Linked DNA regions of Caenorhabditis elegans. The protein of the gene in region 3 purifies or fractionates together with the protein of the main gene of each other region. This does not show direct contact. Each region holds a gene or a part of one and is shown on either strand. Other genes may lie near its edges. The genes, in order: hint-1, rnr-1, rmh-2 and BE10.3.

Region 1 (3,025 bases), on a different chromosome or scaffold from region 3:
AGTGTGCATGAAGATCCACAAAAGCTACACACCTGTGATGCTGTAAGCCGAAATGGATATCAATCAGTATGTGGCAAAAGTGTCCTGGTTCATTTTGAATTGTTCACATTTTGGTTTTTGCTTATCAAAATTTCCCAGAACATATAAGCCACAACCTCCTGCAGTTTACATAATATAATTTCAGCTCCCGAATCCAGTCGTTGATTCTGATGTACAGTATCTTCATGATACAAGACTGTTGGATGTATGTGACTTATAGTTCAGAATTTTTCAAGTAATCACATTTTTAGATTATGACTGGTAATGGATATGTTCAAACACCCGAAACCGACGTACAAGATCAACAATCAAGTCAACATCAAGAAGACGTGCATTCTCAAATGAACTCGCAGACATCTGATTCGTACAATTCCTCTAGAGTTGTGTCAGAGAATCGGGAAATACCTCCGGAAACTTTTCGAAGCCAAAGTATCGAATTGAATCAAGTTGATTCATCCTTGTCCCAGACTACAATCTCAAGTCGAGCAGCACCAGTTATTGATTCAAATCAGTTATCAGATGAAGATGAAATTGATGATGAAGATACATACGGAACACGTGGAACATCTAATATTCCGATGAGACCGTTTATTAAAGATTTAGCTCCAACGATGCTTCAACTGCTTCGTCAAGATAAAACTGATTCCGAAAAAGTACGTAATGCCAGAACAATAATATTAATCTTCATCACCATATTTCAGCCTCAATCTGCTTTATGCACCGTTGTGCAAAAAATCGATGGCTTTGCAATTTTGTACACAGCCAAAAGAGACGTTATAAACGTTTTGCTTCAAGAAAGATCGTGTGAAGGATTGGAAAGATCCCCTCAACTCGGAGACGTGGCATTCTTCGATATCTTGCCTCGTAGAATTGAAACAAAAGATAGGCTCATTTTCAAGATTCCATATACACATATTGCAGGTATTTTACAATTTACCAATGTTTTAAAAAAACTTTAATTTTAAGTGAAAAAGAAACCAGACACGCCAGATTCTCTCCTTAAAATTGATTGCTTTAAAAACTCGGTCAGATGCTTCGGAGGAGTGCTTGAAATGAAAGTAAAAATCGCACTTTCAAAACCTGAACTAGTAGTGGAGCAATATCATGACAACACAGAGATGAACTCGGATCATCATTTTTATTATTTGAAAGCAACAAATGGAGTACTTGTCACAATTCCAAAAGAACGTCTTCTGAATCATTTGAATTCGAAATTATCAGCAGATTTTGACCTAATCGCGTGGGTTGTTCATCGAAAACCAATTGGAAATGTTTCATTACATATTGGAAAGGGAGGTGAAGCTTATCAACAGTTCACAAATGGAGATATTCGAGAGCTTCCGCCATTGTCTTCTAATCAATATTTCATGAATGGTAAGTAAGAGGGAAACCGAGTTTTCGAAGAAACCTAGGAGAATTCTTGGTTTTCTATTCAAATTATTATTTCAGTTCGAAAGTAAAAACTGCACAATCGACAAATCACGTTATGGGTTCAAATTGTATTCTGGTACATTAATTCTTGTTCTTGTGTTAACTTTTTTGATTATTTTTTGTATCATTTTACTGATTAAAGCATTTATTTTCACATGTTTATTGTTTATTTCTCGTTGTCTAGCGTTTTCATCGTTTGAAATATATTGCATATTGGTTATTTTTTGCCCATTTTTCAATATTTTAGTATGGCTTCCTCTTTGGTTAAAACCGCTTTGCGTCTTGCTTACCGTAATCCAGTTAGGTCAGGGTTACTGTAGGCAAGGTGTCTTTATCGATTCCACCATTTTTCAGGTTTACAAAGAGAAACATGTCGGAAGTAGATAAAGCCCACTTGGCGGCAATTAACAAAGATGTTCAAGCCAACGACACTCTTTTCGGAAAAATAATTCGAAAAGAGATTCCAGCGAAAATCATTTTTGAAGATGATGAGGTATGTAAGATCAGGCAAACGATCACATAAAATATTTATTTAAGGCTCTCGCATTCCATGATGTCTCTCCACAAGCTCCAATTCATTTTCTTGTGATCCCTAAGCGTCGCATTGATATGCTCGAGAATGCCGTTGATTCGGATGCTGCGCTTATTGGAAAGCTTATGGTTACTGCTTCAAAGGTAATTATAAATGAGTAAAAACGAATTTGAAAATCCAGAAATCTCCATTATATTACTCTTAAATAAAATTCCAGGTTGCAAAGCAGCTCGGCATGGCCAATGGATACCGTGTTGTTGTGAACAATGGAAAAGATGGAGCTCAATCAGTTTTCCATCTTCATCTCCACGTTTTGGGAGGACGTCAGCTCCAATGGCCACCTGGATAAATATTGCATTGCTTACATTCTGCCACTAATTCATTATCAGTCTTGTAAACAAATCAGTAAAAAATTATATTTATATTTATTTCCAAAACTATTTTAAACCGTGGCATCATGTTTTTTGAAATAAATGCATTCTTTTTCTTCTATCTGACGTGTTCAATTATTGAAACAATTAATCATTTCTGGTATAAAATATGACGCTGTACGATAAAGTGAAATCAATTCTGACGATTCCTGACAAAAATAGTAACGATTCGATCGTCAACGCAACTGACTTGTACTTGGAGTGGGAGAAAGGAGACGGGCAGTGTAAGTGTCACGTGTTTCAATGGCAAAGAAAGAGTTTTTAAATGTCATGAAATATGAATGTCGCCGGGCCCGGTTAGCTCAGCCGGTAGAGCACCAGACTCTTAATCTGGTTGTCGCGGGTTCGAGCCCCGCATTGGGCTGATCTTTTTGTATAGTTCAATTTTTTTCAGATCTTCTTCCACTCTTATTGATTTTCGTTATCTTCTTTTGCATAACTTGCGGTGTGTTTCAAGCTTTGTTGAGCCTTGTGGTTCTCTGTATCAGAAGCCTTTGCGGATTTGATGAGGAAGATGAAAACTTCAATATCAATGGAAACCACTTTGCTAGAAATTCGACACCTTCTGAACATCACGAGGAAATTGGAAATT
Region 2 (4,999 bases), on a different chromosome or scaffold from region 3:
GTGTCTCATAGCTTCTCTGAGTGCTCTTCTGAGCCAAAAAAGCCAAACCGAAACAAAGTCATCAATCGTTTTGAAGTCGAAATGAGCAAAAACGGAAAAAGAACCCAAAAAAAGACAAAAGAGACGATGAACAGCTTCCAATGACGAGACAGGGAGGAAACGAGTAGTAGTTTATTTGAAAAAAAGAGCAATGAGCAAAAAAACCAAGAATCAAGCTAATCTCGCTAAGAACCGGGGGCCCATCTGACGAGAGGAGCTCTACGCATAGTTCAATGTTTCTATTCCGGCTCATTGAGCACACGAAAAGAGAATCGAAAGGGCGCATTTGAAATCTGCTCGATTGACGGTTCACTAAACATTACCCACGTACACCTTCAGTCGAGACCCACTTTTGTTGCACCATGATGTTGCTGAGAGAGTATTTAGGAAAAAAACTACTAGAGCATGAGAAGAGGAAAACTTCCGAAGTTTCGGATGTAAACCTAACACGGTTCCACATTTTTCAGCTCCTGCAATTCAAATCGCTCGAGGACTCAGATTGTCAGTTTATTGACCATTAAAACTTTAGAAAAAATGAGTAACCGCGAGCAAAATAGGGTTATCAGTATAACAGATTAAAGTGAAAAAGTGAGCAATTTGGGAATGTACAAACATGATCAACGGGTGAAAGAAAAAATGATTATCCGGAGCACATGAGGCATCCTTCATCTTGCGACTCGGCCACGGTGGCTGGCGTCTCAGCTTGTTGGTTAGTTTTCAGCGCATTCTTATCCACAGTGAATTGAACTGCATTGACAGCTGGCTTGGTACGCAAATAGTACATTCCAGTCTTGAGTCCCTTCTTCCATCCGTAGAAATGCATTGATGTGATACCGGCGTAGCTTGGCTTGGCCATGTGAATGTTAAGAGATTGGGATTGATCAATGTATGCTCCACGATCAGCAGCCATCTCAATAATGTCTTTTTGAGAGATCTCCCACACTGTGCGATAAAGTTCCTTGATGTCGGATGGAATTCCATCAATGTTTTGAATGGATCCATTGTTGGCAATCAGACGATTCTTCATCTCATCAGTCCACAATCCTCTTTCCACCAAATCCTTGAGCATGTGAGGATTCACAATCTGGAAATCTCCAGAAAGAACACGGCGAGAGTAGATGTTCGAAGTGTATGGCTCGATGGATTCATTGTTTCCGAGAATTTGAGCAGTGGAAGCAGTTGGCATTGGAGCCATCAGAAGACTGTTGCGGATACCATGCCTGTAAATAAGTAGTTTAATCAGATTCGAAAGAGTATTTTAATCTTACTTTGCAATTTTCTTGCGAAGAGTGGCCCAATCGCATTGATCGGTTGGAGTGACTCCCCACATATCAAATTGAAGCTGTCCTTTCGATACTGGAGATCCTTCGTATGTCGAGTATGGTCCATTCAACTCAGCCAATTCACAACTGGCTTCCAATGCAGCGTAGTAGATGGTTTCGAAGATTCGTTTGTTGAGATCTCTGGCTTCTGCCGAAGTGAATGGGTAACGCATCAACATGAAGCAATCAGCGAGTCCTTGGACACCAAGCCCGATTGGGCGATGGCGCATATTAGAGTTGCGAGCCTCCTCGACTGGATAGTAGTTGACGTCAATAATCTTATTCAAATTTCTGGTTATAACTTTAGTCACCTCAGCCAGTTTGACGAAGTCGAACTTTTTCTCGGGGGTCACGTAGCGATTGAGAGCAATGGAAGCAAGGTTGCAAACTGCAATCTCATCTGGAGCAGAGTACTCTATGATTTCAGTGCACAAGTTGGAACACTTGATAGTTCCAAGATTTTGCTGGTTAGACTTGCGATTGGCGGCATCTTTGTAGGTGATGTATGGAAGCCCGGTCTCGATTTGGTTGGAAACGATGTGCTCCCAGAGCTTGCGGGCCTTCACCGTTTTGCGGACTCGTCCCTCGGCTTCGTATCTGGAAATTTTGATATGAACTTTGCAAATTTAACTTCACTGTTTAAAAGTTTTTGTTAGTTGATTTTTGTCCGGAGCACACCTTTTTTTTTGAGTATATTCCGGTTATCGATCAACTATTTCATATTCGAAGTTAGTAAACTCAGTCCAAGCAGTACTCTTAAAGTTCTGTCTGGATATCGCACTTCGGTAATTAAAAAAATAAGAACCAGGAGATACTTACTTGGCGTAAAGAGCTTCGAACTCCTCTCCCCAGCAATCATCAAGTCCTGGACATTCACATGGGCACATCAACGACCATTCTTGATCCTTCTCGACTCGCTTCATAAAGAGATCTGGAATCCAAAGAGCAAGGAACAGGTCTCTGGCACGTTCCTCTTCCGGTCCAGTGTTCTTGCGGAGAGATACAAACTCGAAGATATCGGCGTGCCATGGCTCCAGGTAAATAGCAAATGCTCCTGGGCGTTTGTTTCCTCCTTGATCAACATAACGAGCAGTATTATTGTAGACACGAAGCATTGGTATGAGTCCGTTAGATGTTCCATTAGTTCCAGCGATCACAGATCCAGTGGCGCGAATTTTGTGAACATTGAGTCCGATTCCTCCGGCACTTTTTGAAATAAGAGCACACTGCTTCAATGTATCGTAGATTCCGAGAATGGAGTCTTCACTCATTGTCAGAAGGAAGCATGAAGACATCTGAGGACGGCATGTTCCCGAATTGAAGAGAGTTGGGGACGCATGGGTCATGTAACGCTCCGACATCAGATTATAGGTCTCGATTGCGGAAGTAATATCATCTCCATGGATTCCAATAGAAACACGCATCAACATCTGCTGTGGGCGCTCGACAATCTCCTTGTTTATCTTGAGAAGGTAGGAACGCTCCAGTGTTTTGAATCCGAAATAGGTGTAGGAATAGTCACGATCGTAGACGATGGCGGAATTCAGCTTCTGAAATGAAATTTTTTTGAATAAATGCAATTCCTAGGAAAACTAACATCAGCATTCTTCTCAATGATAGCCCAAGTCTCATCACTGATCATTGGTGCGTGTTTTCCGGTATGAGGATGATGGAACTCGTGAAGGGTTTTCATAACTTCCGAGAACACCTTATTCGTTTTCTTGTGCAAGTTCGAAACGGCGATTCGAGCGGCAAGAAGAGCATATTCCGGATGTTGTGTGGTCATGGAAGCAGCAGTCTCTGCAGCAAGATTATCCAACTCAACAGTTGTCACTCCTTTGTACAAGCCACTGATAACTTTGATTGCAACAGCGACCTGGAAAATTTAATTCATCATTGAACTTGTGTTTAATAACAAACCGGATCGACAAAATCCATGTTCAATCCATAGCTCAGCTTCTGAATTCTGGAAGTGATCTTGTCGAAGTGTACATCTTCCTTTCGCCCATCCCGCTTGACAACATAAGTGCTGTTGTAACGTTGCATAACTGGAAAAGATGAATTATTAACAATTTGAGAAGAAAAGAGTGAAAATGGAGGAGCGGAGAGAATTTTCAAATGACCAGTTCATCTCAAATTTACTAGTTTTCGCGCCTAGGTAATAGAGGAACGCGCGAAAACGAGACGCAGACCAAACAAACGCGCTCCATCGGAATTCAAATTCAAAAGGAAAACGAATTATTGAAATCTTGGTCTCATAGAAAAAACAAGTATTACAGTGAAACAGAATACATTATATTTTCCTACGAATTCTGGCTTCAATATGGTTTTCTGATAGAAGTGAGCTAATGTCGAAACACACAAAATTGGCCTAGAAATTCAAACCGAAAATCCACGGTCCTGAGCATTTCTAACTACGGCAGTTTGAAATGAAATATTAATTCACAGCTGAAGAATTTCATTTAAACAAAAAATGTGTTTAGTTTTCTGTGTGAGGAAAAAATCTATTTATACCCTTCGGCACCACAAGCACCGCCTCTAACCATGGCTCCGCCCTTTAGGACAAGTCCGATAATCGCATTTCATTGCTCTGAAATTTAAAAAAAAACGTAAAATTCAAAATAAAACCACATAAAAATGCATAAGATCAGAAGAAACCCCGAAAATAAAAGCTGTAAAACACAATTTTGCCGCGGGTTACTGTAATGGTCTCGACACGAAATATTGTATTTAAAAACTTTATGCGTGCGCCTTTGAAAGAGTACGGTAATTTTTTAAAGAAAAAAACATGTTTCGATGAAATAATATTTATATTCAGTTTTTCCTTAAATTTTCAAACTGCGGACAAAAAAGCGTAGTTTTTTATTTTCTGATGTTTTGTCAGAGATCACTAAAATTTGCTGTCGGTCAATTCAGACAATAAAAAACCACCAGCTGTGATTGCGAATTTTCGAAAATTCGAAAAACGCGTATCTGTTGGCATGCAAGACATGACATAAATAATTTATTTTGACACAGATATATTCAAATGGTTAGTGACGAGATGTTCCATCTCTTGACTGCATTAATCCTCCAGTTATGAGCACTTCCACGCTATGGCTCTCCTCATCCGCATTTTTGTTGACAACATTGTATACCGCCTGAAAATAGATAAATGAATTTTAATTTTATAATTCTATAGATATTCTACTAATTTTCAAGAAAGTTACTCACACTAAGATCAACTGCCTCTGCAGCAGCATCACAGATTTTCCTCACAGTCGGATCATCAGTCATTTTCTTATCAAAAAGTACCGATGCACCATTCCAACCAACATGTGCAATATGTCTGAAAATAAACTTTTGTAAGTAATTAATAGATAAAAGATATCCAAATCTCACGTAAAGTTCCTTGGAAGACTAATCGAATCTGCAGACGTTTTAATTTTTTTGGAATTTCTGCCAGTTGGAGGTTTTCTCATCGGAATTTGTACAGTATCCTTCGGCTGCATCAATGACGGAAGTGGTGGTGGTGGAGGTGGAGGTGGTTTCGAAAGAAGAAGATTACGTGGGACAATCGGAACATTTTCTTTTTGGGTCAAGATTTGGTTCGGTATTGGAGTTGATGGAAGTTCAGGTGGGCAAGTACAAAATGTTCG
Region 3 (5,182 bases):
TTTTCCAATACAGGCATCTATATTGTTTCAGACTCGTTCTCTGGGATATGCAAATTCACGAATTTCATTATATAACATATCATAAATTTCGGAAAAGTATCATCTTCAAATCCTTTCATTTCACAGGAGATGTTACTATTGAATTTTCGATTCAATTTTAGGCAGTGTATTTACAATTAATTTAACCGTGAAATAAAATAAATAAAATAAGTAATTAGTGTACACATTCTTGATCAATTTTCAATTCAATTTAGGGACTGCGGAACGCTCTCGTCATCTTGTTTTTGGGATTTGCTCCTGCTTCTCGTGTGCCTTCCTTTGAAAACAACATCCTTGAAAACCGGTTTTTCAGTTGTTTCATTTCCGAGTGGTGGGAGGGCTGAAATATTATACATGAAGTTAAAATTAAGAGGTGTTTAGTTCTTACTGAGATAAGCACCTAGAAGCATTCCAACTTCTCGCTCTCGTTTCTCCTTTTCTGCTATCAACTCTTTGAAAAAATCAATGTAACGACCTTTAGCATATACATATTTATCTTCGTGTTGAGTCTCGTTCATAGCTGTTTCGGCCTCATATTCGTCAAGAATTTGGGCCATTTTGAGTTCATATTTTGCTTGATTGATCTGAAAATTGGACTATTTAAAAATCAGTCACGACTGGGTAGACGGCGATTGCTATTCGGAAAACCGCATTTCAGCAATTAAATATTTCGGCTATAGCTGCCTTTTTCAATTTTTTAAAGTACTCTTTTTTTTGAATTCTGGAAGGATAAATCGAAACTTGGTACTTATGTAGGAACCGTACCCAAAATTATAACTAATAAAAACATTACCGTGATTTTTGATTAGTTTAAGCCTAAAAAAGCAGCCTGCCCTCACGTTTCTATTAAATTACCATTTTAACAATAAATGAATGAAAAATTAATTTTACGGGTATGGCTACTACATACGTACCCAAAACTTGCAATTCTTGTGGTAACAATAGCTTAATTTTGTGCCTGAGACATTAAAAAGGAAATCTTACATCAAGTTTCTTGGAGAGCGCATCTTCAGCTTCTCGTTTCGCAGCTAAAAGTTCGGGATCAGTTCCGGCGGCAACATTGGCCTTATATTCTCTTGCTTCTCGAAATTTGTTGTCTCTTAATTGTGTTCGTAGTGCAATATATTGACTTTCTGCAAGGACAGCCCGCCGGAGAATGTCCGTCTTTCTGGAAAAAAAAAACGAAGTTTTTATTATTTCCAACGAAATACATACTTCCGTTCATATTCCTCTTGTGTAAGATGTTCTAATGGTGCTGGTTCTTCAGAAGGTGGTCGTCTGATGGGAAGTCTTGGAGTTCCGCGATCACGTTTTCCACCTCGTTTCCGCTTTCCAAAATTGTCTGACATTTTTAACTGAAATTAATTAGAAATGTGTGATAGAGGATAAGATTTTTTATGAAAATAATAACTTCAAGCTTCAATTATTGCAAATCAATGCGAAAACATAAATACACCACAATATCTAAGCAAGAATTGAATTTTATGAGAAAAAAATAAATTTGAAAATGCGTCCAATAAAGTAGGTGGAGCTCCGTAAACCCACACTGCAACCGCCGCGCACAGACACCGCAACATTGGTGCGCGGGTCATGTTTCACCGCCAATTATTTATTTTTGAACAAAATTTGTCTCATGAGTTCCAGATGCACGTTTCTGCTTCAATATTTCAGCGACCGGCATATTCTATTAAAAGATGAGTGGCTAACGACAGTTATTGAGTTTTTAAATAACCAGAAACCACAAGCAAAACATTTTGTAAGTCGACTTTTCAGAAAGATATATTTTTAAAAATTCGAATAATATGATTTATTTAAGGACGATGAAAAATTTGCAAATCTGGTGTTGGATCAATGGATTTGTTCGAGTATTGAAAGTTCATCGTTTCCCGTATTTGGCAACCATGGAATTGAAGAGACCGTTGCGAAACAAAACCTTCAAGGTCCAATCGTTTGTCAGGTAATTAAAAATAAAGTTCAGAGACATCATCGGTTTAATTTTCAGATTAATGGGTTCATTGATGTCGGCAGTCCATATTATCAACAGTATTGTTCAATGAGTGGGAATGGACAAAAGGAAGACCAATCTGGCTTTGAAAAAGTATTCCACGAGAAAGACAACGATACCGATCAGGTAAATTTGAATATTGCTAATAGTGATGAATAAGAAAATACAGATTCCAGAAACCTTCACGTCTTTTGAAACTGACCCTATTTGATGGAGAAACAACGTTGAAGGCGATTGAATTTTGGAAATGTCCCCAGCTCTCTCTACATTATAAACCTGGAACCAAAATTCTTATCGTTCCACCATGTGCAATTCGAAAAGGAACCTTTCTGTTGAAGCGAAATAATTGTAAAGTTCTAGGTGGACAAGTTCTTCCGCAATTAAATTCGTTCGTACCAGTAGATCAATATGCACGACTTTTGGGTATCAAAAGTTTAAACCTATCTGCGAAAAAGAAGGAAGAAGTTAAAACAACTATGAATTCCAATACGGATAGTATTCGAACTGTCACTAACTCTGTCATTGATTCTTCTTTGCCGAAATTCATTGATCGTCCTGATCCAGTTCAGCCTGCTTCAGGTCCATCTTCGTTGATCAGTAGATATTTTCAAAAGAAACAATGCCCGTTAGTTTTCTAGAAGAAAAACACATTTTAAAGTTATCCTTCCAGACCTTCCACTTCAAAAGAACCAGAAACGCGTGAAATATCCCCTGATATTTTTAATGACGAGGATGGTGATTATGACTTTGAAAATGAGAACATTGGTTGGTTATTTGCATTAGTTTTCCCAATTTAAATTATAATTTTAAGAATATGATAATCGTCAGTCAACTTCCATGAAAGCTAAAAATGATTCAGTTCTTGTTTCTTCTCTATTGAGTAAAATGAAAGATGACACGGAAGATTTTGATTTGAATCGGCGAATGACCAATCGATCACCGAAAAAGCGAAATTCAATACGCTCACCACCGATGGATGTCGTATGTTTTTAAAGTTAGAAATTTTTTAAAATTGAATTTTCTAGACCCGTCGAATATCTGGAATGCTAACATCCCGTAGAGTCGATCCAATGGACGAAATTCTTGAAAATATGATTGAAAAAGATGAGGAACCAGTGTCCTGCCCTTCGACATCAACGAAAAATCCATTTAAATCAATATCACAACCACCAAAGAAGAAAATCAAATCAGAACCAGAAAGTGATGATGATATTCAAATTATTGAATTAGTTTCCCCGTCCCAACCTGTCAAAAAGGAAAAATTATTTGAAGAGGAAACTATAAACTCAGAGCTTGATGAAGAAAATACTCGAATGAATAGTGAAGAACGTCAAGCTATGGATGCATTCTCTAAGCTTAATTTGTCATCATTGGCGGAAAGTATGAAGAAAATGAAATATTCAATAGGATCAAAACGATTTATTCTTCTTGCTTTCATTGAAGATATAACAGAACAATTGCGAGTTGTTGACAAAATGTGGACAATGAAAGTGCATTTAAAAGATTGTTGGACATCCGTTAATGCATTAATTGACAATCGAACCCTTCAAAATCTAATTGGATTTTCCTGTGAAGAAGCTTCGGTAGGTTTTTTGAAAATTTTAAAAACTTGAAAACTGAACCTTCTTTGTGAATTATTAATTATATTTAGACAATTCGAAAATCCAAAGATGCGGAAAAGAGGTTAAATGGAAAAATGCGGCTGAACGCTTTGGAACATCAGTTGCAAAGATTGGATCTTGTTTTCGAGGTATTGGTTCACAAATAAAAATGATTAAAATATATTTATTGGCTCTCGAAGATTTCTTAAAAGTGGTTTAGCGTGAATTTGGCTCGCTGAATTAAAAAAAACCCACAAAGAAAAATGAAAAATAAAATCCGGAAAAAATGAAAAATCCAACTTTAAAAAACACTAATTTATAACTTTGGCTGAATTCCCTATGGAGTTGGATTTTCATTATTCTTCGATTTTTAGTATTTCTGAATTCAAAACAATTTTGGATTTTTTAAAAGAAAAATCTTCCTTCACGCTATTTACTCCCTCTTTGAATAGTCCTAGAATATAAAAACACAAAAAAGTTTAATCTTTAAAAAATTTAAATTTTGCAATGATTTTTCCACCCTTTGTGCTTCTGATGTCCACTCTTCTTCTAATAAACAAATCTATAAAATTCTACCTTTTACCCACCGTTTCCTTATCTTTACGACCTCCTTCCCTTTTCTTGTGCCGTGGAACTTTTTTCACTCGATCGTCATGTGACAATAAGTTGGAAGAAAATATCACTTTGGCGTTGACATTTACGAAATTCTGAAGTGAAAAATGGAAATTTTTACATGCTCTTAACCTTTTTTTCAATTTTCAGATCGAATTCTTCGCTGGTACATTGTCGCCTTGCCCCGTCGTAAGATCAATTAAAACATTATCAGAGCTAATCGATGTCTATTGAATAATTTTTCATGTTTTTTCTGTTACATGTTCGAGAATTAGGTTACATTCAATTTTATTATCAATATTATGTGCTCACCAATTCGATGGGTCAGTTATGATGTCTTTAAGATTTGTATGAATATTCACAGAATACAGTATGTACATCATATTTGATTATTATTTAAAATTAGATTTGCACTGCAATACAACGACAACTGTGCATAGTGTGACTGCGAATATTCCAAAGGTCCAGGCAATCAGTGTGTGCTTGTGTCCTTTCAGATATTCCAGCACTTTATTTGGTGGTTTCTTCGAGGTTATATTTCCTGAAATTTGGGAAATCCGTACTATGATATAAGGAGTACACCCATTTCTGAGAATTCGTATTGCGCGACGCGCTAAATATCTCGTAGCGAAAACTACAATAATTCTTTCAATGACTACTGTAGCGCTTGTGTCGATTTACGGGCTCGGTTTTCGAAATGAATTCCTTTTCCTCAAATATCCTCAAATATGTTTCCCAATACGAATTTTCAGAATTTGTATTCCCGTTATACAATAGGTAACGAGAAATGAGATATGCCTCAAAAATCTTGCAGGAGAAATAATTTTAGAGAAACTTACTCTCATGGGGTGGAATAACTCGATAGATGTACACTGGTGGAGGTTCATTAAATATTTCAGATGTCGATATCGCTGGAGGTCTGATT
Region 4 (6,748 bases), on a different chromosome or scaffold from region 3:
AAAAAGGCGTGCAAAAAGCGTTGCGGGCGGAAATGTAATGCACTTTATTCAAGATCATTAATAAATTTTCCAAAGGACTATCTACATGAGTTGGTCATCCGTATAGAAGGGTTCCGTGTGTTCTCGAATAATTACCAAATCGGGCATCTCCTCGGGAATCTGAACAAATGAAAAGGTTAACTCAAAAAGCCTGGCTGACCCATCACGGTTTGATCTACCAAAAATGCGGGAATTTTTCTCCGCATTTTCCGCATTTTTTGTAGATCAAACTCATATGGGACACCCGGACACCACGCGACTTACATTCGAAACGGTGTCATCTTCGCGGACTTCTGAAAATTAAAATTTAATTTTTTTTTCGAAAGATTACAAAATCAACTTACTTCTCGACTTCTTCTTACTGAAACGAACATCCATTGGAGCACTTTTGCCGCTTTTCAGCTGCTTCTTCTCGGTCCGCCTATCCGGAGTGAGTGGGGCCCCCGGCTGAGCTGGCTGCGGAGCAAGCGGCTGGTCATGACGATTCTCTCCTTTTTTACTCGAATCAACTGTATCTTCCTGAATGAAAAACGGTTTAAAAAAGGCCTGCCTGCCTACCTGCCTACTAGCCTATACTTGACGTACCTTACTCTTAGTTTTCCTTCTACAGAAGCACATATTGTCACACCTTCAATACGATATTTGCTCACAGCGATACAAATTGAAAATTTATGAAATGATTGATTTTTTTTTTGAATTTCAATAAATGGGCATTTTTATCAAGAATTAGAAAAAAATAAATTAAGAAAAAAAAATTGACGTCAAATTATTTTTTAATTTTTAAATTTAAAAATGTCTTAAATTTCACGCCAACCGGTTTTGCCTGGACATAACGCCTGCTTGCCTTTTCGCCTACATAACGCCTGCTGGCCTTCTTGCCTAGATAACGCCTGGATGCCTACATACGTGCCTTCTCGCCAACACAACGCCTACTTACCTACTGGCCTACACAACGCCTGTTTGCCTTCTCGCCTATATAACACCTGGATGCCTACCTACGTGCTTACTCGCGTACATAACGCCTACTTACCTACTGGCCTACACAACGCCTGTTTGCCTTCTCGCCTATATAACACCTGGATGCCTACCTACGTGCCTACTCGCGTACATAACGCCTGCTTGTCTTCTTTCCTACAAAACAGTTTTTTGCCGACTCGCCTACATAACGCCTGTTAGCCTTCTCGCCTACATATCGCCTGCTAGCCTTCTCGCCTACATAATGCCTGTTAGCCTACTCGCACGTACAAAGTCTGGATGTCTTTCCGTCTACATTACGCCTGCTAGCCTTCTCGCCTACATAGCGCCTCATTGCCTACTCGCCTACATAACGCCTGCTAGTCTTCTTGCCTTCTTAACTCATGCTTACCTACTGGCCTACATAACTCCTGTTTGCCTTCTTGCCTATATAACACCTAGATGCCTACCTACGTGCCTACTGGCCTACATAACGCCTGCTTGCCTTCTCGCCTAGACAACGCCTGGATGCCTACATACGTGTCTACTGGCCTACATTATGATCATCTCTCTGCCTACCTACGTGCCTATTTCAGGACTGCCGATACTTTTCAGTTTTTGGAAAATCTAGCATATCCTTGGCAATGTTTTTAGTTTTGATTTGATGAAATGTCCTAAAAAAACAATATTGGGAAATGTTTCTCAATCAAGAGGTGCACCAATCTTCCCGGTCACACAAAAAACCTAGCTACAAACCTAGCTACATTTACATATCGATCTATTCTCGACCAGATAGTGCTCGGTAACCTCCCCAGAGCCTGAAAAGGGCCCGATCAATATAATGACGTAGCCGTTTTCATTGTCTGTTCTATCTCCCTTTATTCTTATTTGAACTGCATTCACCTCTCTAATGAGACCTTCTGATTCGTTTTGCTGTGGAGACAGCGACTGCATGCTGCTCAACAGTTTTGTGTACGGATATCAAATTCCGGAGATTTTGATGAAGCCTACTGATGTAAGATTTTTATTTTATTACAAAAAATAAATAATTTAATATTTTTACTTCAATTTTCAGAACGTCGAATTAATTTCCAAAGTTTTTGAGAACGTGAAAATTCTTGAAAAAATATTGGAAAATGTTTCGACAGATGCGATGGGCAAATTAGATCTAAGAGTGAGTTCTGTAGAAAATTAAAATTCTCAGAGAGAAAAATATGATAATTTGGCAGGTAATTCAAATTTTCTGAAAACAATTTTGGCAGAAAATTCAATTTTTTTAATGATAATTTTTTGGCGGGAAGTTGAAATTTTTTGAGAACTTTTATTGCAGAGAATTCAAATTTTCTGAAAACAATTTTGGCAGGAAATTCAAATTTCCCGAAAAAAATCAGGCCGGAAATTTTTTGTAATTTTTTGAGAACAATTTTTGGCGGGAAATTCAAATTTTCTGAGAAAAGATTTTGGCAGGAAATTCAAATTTTCTATGACAAATTTTTGGCGGGAAATTAAAGTTTTTGGAGAAAAGTAATTTGGCAGGAAAATCAAATTTTTTAAGACAAATTTTTGGCGGGAAGTTCAAATTTTATGCGAAAACAGTTTAGTGGTAAATTCAAATTTCCCAAAAAAAATCAGGCCGGAATTTTTTTGTAATTTTTTGAGAACAAATTTTGGCGGGTAATTAAAATTTTCCCATACCAAATTCAGACGAGAAGCTCAAATTTTTTTTGGCGCAAAATATTGGCGGGAAATTCAAAAAATGGATGTAAATAGTCTAAAACTTCTAGGATCTTCTGGAAGCTTTTTTTCAACCTTGAAGCTTTTTGAAGGTTTAGGAAACCCAAAGAAAAGAAAAAAATTTATTTAAAATTTATAATTTATGGGCTAAATCAAAAAAAAAATGGTCCAAGTAACACTACAGAATTTAACGTATAAATTTCCAGCTAGTCAACAAAAACATCAACATCGCCTTGCTCCGTAGAATCCGACAAGAGCACCGAGACGTGCTCATCAGAGGAGCATCCGATTGTCGATTTGATTTGGAGCAAGATGCTAAGCAAAACTGTCCAGATTGTTCAGTTTTTATAAATCCACAAAGGGTGACTATGGAAAAGTTGGAGGATTATTTTCGGTGAGTATATATATTTTTTATATTGTTCAGAGCACATCTTTCAGATTTTTGAAAGAAATCGCTGGAGTCAAAGTTCGAAGAGTTGGCGTCGAGGATGTTGCAAAAATTTGTGATCAGAGGGAAATCCATGATAGGGTCATCAATTCTTTGATTGGCAATGATGGTTAGTTTTTACTGATTTTGTTTTGTTTTTCAAACCGTCCCAAATGCATTTAAAAAAAAATTTCCAGACCAACTCGTAGAGGAATTTTTCGGAATGAATGATATCTGCAGTGGATCAGATGAGTGTGGAATTATTGGCGGTCGATGTAGAAAATATGGTCCGATTCAGGAGAATATTTTCGATATTACACTGAAAACACCACATCATTTTGAGCATTTAGAAGTTTCAGACACGTAAGTTCAGTTTGAACAGTTAAATTGAGATATTGAGTTTGGGGTTAGTGAAGGGACATGGTTGTGGTACTGTAGGATTACTGTAGGGGTACTGTAGAGGTAATGTAGGATTACTGTAGAGATACTGTACTATTAGTATTGTGGGGATACTAAAGGGGTGCTGTAGGAGTACGATATTTGTACTTTAAGGGCGCTATAGCGAAAGTGTAGTAGTACTGTAGAGGTAATTTAGGGATACTGTAACAATACTGTTGTAGTACTACTGTAGGGGTAATGTAGGGTTACTGTAGGGATACTGTACTATTGGTACTGTGGGGATAATATAAGGGTACTGTAGGAGTACGGTATTTGTACTATATAAGAATACTGTGGAGTTACTTTAGTAGGACTGTAGAGGTTTTGAAGGATTACTGTAGGGATACTGTGATATTAGTATTGTGGAAATATCATAGGGGTACTGTAGGAGCTCTGTAGTAATACTACAGGGGTACTGTAGGAGTACCTAAGATATAATGTAGTAGTACTCTAGGGATACTGTAGGGGTACTGTAGGGTACTGTAGGATCACTGTACTTTTAGAAAAATAGATTTTGTCTTTACTTGGAGTATTGAGTTGGTGTTAGTAAAGGAATATGGATGAGGTACTGTAGGATTACTGTAGTTATACTATAGGGATACTATAAGGATACTGTAGAAGTACTGTAAGATTACTGTAGGATTACATAGTTTGAGAAATAATGATTTTTTGTCTTTTGATGGGATATCGAGTTGGGTTGGGCTACTGTAGGATTACTGTAGGGGTACTGTAATAGTTATATAGGAGTACTGTAGTAGTTATAAATTCTATAAATTATACTTGTTTTCCTTACAGACTCCTACATAGAATCGTCTTGTCGCTTGCCGATTCGTCGCAATCAAATTTAGCAGTAATTGATAAATATATAAATTCAAGAATTTCATGTGATTCCCTGACTCTGATGCCATCAATCCTACTTGGAACCAGGAAATCGTGGATTCCATGTCAACTCCAAGTTATGCGACAAATCGTAGAGCTGATTGTGGTGAAATGGAATGTGAAGAATTTGAGAATTGAGTTTGGAGAGTTGCCAGAACTAGATCTAAGTTCTGGAGACTTGGATTTGAACCAGAAATTGATTGGTTTAGAATTTGAATCTGTAGCTAATTATTCTTTGGAAAACCTTGATATTTGCCTGGAATTCAGTGAACTTCTCGCTGATGAAATGGAGCAATACCTGAAGTCACCTGAAGAACCTTCACCAATTGATGGATTAATTTCAAATGTTCAAAAAATATTTTCCACTAAATTTTTGACTCTGGAACTTCCCAAGGCATACATTCTCATGACACCTTTCAACTTGAATAAGTTCATCGGAAAGTTCATGAGAATGATTGAAAGCTCTCCGAGCTCTCCGACGATAAGAAATTCCAAAATAACAGTCAAGCTTTATCCAATGAGCTCACAGCTTATTTCTAGAACAGCTCCAGTCTTCAACTACAGAACACAGAATGTGCCGGAGATTTTGAATTCTGGTGCTCGGCTTGTCTCCGGGCCAATAGATCAAATTCAAAAAAATTCAAAAGACTACTTTCACCTGAAAGATATAGTCTCAATACCAGACGATAGATCAATTGGATATCGAACTCAAGTTCATATTTGGAAGGGAAGAAGGTTTTGTTTGGAACACGAAATGGCCAATTGCACGATAGATTTTGAAATTTATTTTGAAATTGAATTTTTGGAGAAGTTCTTCAGGAAGAGGCCTGATGTTAAGGGAGCTGGATTTTTGAGACATTTTTGGACACCTGAGTTACTGGTGAAACATTTTTAATTTTATTTGTTTTTTTGTGTTTTTTTTTGTTTGATGGGGTTATTCAAGTAATGTAGCAAAATGTATTTAAATACATTTGTGACGTCAGAAATGTATTTAAATACATGTTTTTATATACTTGAATACAGTTGTGACGTAATTTTTCTACACTTTTTAATTTTCCGACATTACTTGTTGAATAACCCCATAAGGGTAGGGTAGCAAACATTATTGCAAAATTTTTGAAAAGTGGTATTTACCGAGCTTTTGCCACTTTTCACAAAGCTATAACACTGTTGCATTTTTGAAACCCAACAATTAGGGGCTGCAAACGTTTTTTTCCGGCAAATTGGCAAACCGGCAAATTGCCGATTTGCCGGAAAAATTTCGGCAAGTTGTGCTAGTGCACATTTTTTTTTGGAAATCACTGTATTTCAATTTTAATCGGCAAAATTGTAGACTTCCTATGAATGTTCCTACATCTATTTTTAAAAGTAAATAAATTCTATGAAAATTTGCAGAAAACAAAAATTTCCGGCAAATTGGCAACCCGGTAATTTGCCGAAAATTTGCCAAACTGCAATTGCCGCCCACCCCTGGTTCGAATATTAATTTTTTTGATCGATGACTTTCAAAAATGTGGAAAAACTGAGATTTTTTCAATTTTTAAAAAATCATATAAAATGGCAAAAAATTTTTACTATAATATTTGGCAATTCTGCCCCACTAGCGCAATTCTGCCCCACACCTCATCTTTAATGAAAAAAATTTTTTTTTTTCAAATTTTTCATGTTTTTTCCTGTTCAATTTTTTCTGAATTTGTTTCTGATTTAAGTTTTTAATTGCTTCATTTTTTAAATAAATTAATTTTTCCGTTTTCAAGAAAAATCCTTGTTTTTCTTAAATTAAAATTTTGAAATTTTTAGGCGCACCGGCAAGTTTTTGGAAATATCACCCAGACGCAAATTGCGCAAAGTTTTGTGATTTTGCGGAATTTTCATCAAATTTTCTTCAGTTTTTTAAACATAACACGGCCCGAGAAGTTGTGCCTGTACCTACCTGCGGTACCTACCGTACCCCGGCTACGTTTACGCATGTTTTTCAAAAACGGCAATTTTTTTTACGGCAATTAATTTTAAAAAATGACAAAAAACGATTATCTTATTTTCGTAGATGAAGTTTTACCATAACTCGCTTCACGGATTTCTGGCTTCCCTCATAAATTGAAATGGAAGAGTTAGGCCAGTTTGGCTCGGTCATATCTGGGGTAGATTTACGGCGCGTTGCGTGTCGCGTCGCGGCTCGATTTTAGTTGTAAAACTAAATGTATTTGTCCGTGTGGAGTACACGACTTTCCGTTGTCCGGCGGGCGATTTTCAATGGAGCGGTCAGAACCTCGTGTC

The links.
Region 1: the proteins of rmh-2 (region 3) and hint-1 fractionate together in Caenorhabditis elegans (co-fractionation; one large-scale study listed by BioGRID). This does not show direct contact.
Region 2: the proteins of rmh-2 (region 3) and rnr-1 fractionate together in Caenorhabditis elegans (co-fractionation; one large-scale study listed by BioGRID). This does not show direct contact.
Region 4: the proteins of rmh-2 (region 3) and BE10.3 fractionate together in Caenorhabditis elegans (co-fractionation; one large-scale study listed by BioGRID). This does not show direct contact.

The regions. Positions count from the first base shown.
Region 1 is NC_003279.8:7,279,127-7,282,151, reverse strand, and holds hint-1 (Histidine triad nucleotide-binding protein 1), read left to right. Parts: upstream 1-1,824; 5' UTR 1,825-1,840; coding exon 1,841-1,963; intron 1,964-2,007; coding exon 2,008-2,145; intron 2,146-2,219; coding exon 2,220-2,351; 3' UTR 2,352-2,482; downstream 2,483-3,025. Other genes in the region: rde-2 (SH2 domain-containing protein), read left to right, coding at 1-66, 185-244, 291-692, 741-960, 1,006-1,413, 1,489-1,499; F21C3.7 (Small integral membrane protein), read left to right, coding at 2,543-2,657, 2,828-3,025.
Region 2 is NC_003281.10:9,224,842-9,229,840, forward strand, and holds rnr-1 (Ribonucleoside-diphosphate reductase large subunit), read right to left. Parts: upstream 3,410-4,999; 5' UTR 3,408-3,409; coding exon 3,282-3,407; intron 3,238-3,281; coding exon 2,959-3,237; intron 2,912-2,958; coding exon 2,181-2,911; intron 2,134-2,180; exon of another isoform or gene 2,009-2,133; intron 1,959-2,008; coding exon 1,308-1,958; intron 1,260-1,307; coding exon 680-1,259; 3' UTR 534-679; downstream 1-533. Other genes in the region: T23G5.3 (uncharacterized protein), read right to left, coding at 4,394-4,501, 4,575-4,689, 4,743-4,999. UniProt on the Caenorhabditis elegans protein: Provides the precursors necessary for DNA synthesis. Catalyzes the biosynthesis of deoxyribonucleotides from the corresponding ribonucleotides.
Region 3 is NC_003283.11:9,927,233-9,932,414, reverse strand, and holds rmh-2 (RecQ-mediated genome instability protein 1), read left to right. Parts: upstream 1-1,639; 5' UTR 1,640-1,672; coding exon 1,673-1,795; intron 1,796-1,855; coding exon 1,856-1,996; intron 1,997-2,041; coding exon 2,042-2,170; intron 2,171-2,220; coding exon 2,221-2,669; intron 2,670-2,714; coding exon 2,715-2,809; intron 2,810-2,855; coding exon 2,856-3,025; intron 3,026-3,069; coding exon 3,070-3,627; intron 3,628-3,695; coding exon 3,696-3,794; intron 3,795-4,407; coding exon 4,408-4,491; 3' UTR 4,492-4,634; downstream 4,635-5,182. Other genes in the region: suds-3 (DUF2040 domain-containing protein), read right to left, coding at 246-379, 428-623, 1,024-1,207, 1,255-1,388; C50H2.13 (uncharacterized protein), read right to left, coding at 4,650-4,798, 5,097-5,182.
Region 4 is NC_003281.10:12,806,146-12,812,893, forward strand, and holds BE10.3 (FTH domain-containing protein), read left to right. Parts: upstream 1-1,880; 5' UTR 1,881-1,945; coding exon 1,946-2,008; intron 2,009-2,068; coding exon 2,069-2,167; intron 2,168-2,933; coding exon 2,934-3,121; intron 3,122-3,165; coding exon 3,166-3,284; intron 3,285-3,351; coding exon 3,352-3,517; intron 3,518-4,387; coding exon 4,388-5,366; 3' UTR 5,367-6,217; downstream 6,218-6,748. Other genes in the region: BE10.5 (Autism susceptibility gene 2 protein-like), read right to left, coding at 82-159, 304-332, 384-558, 625-657.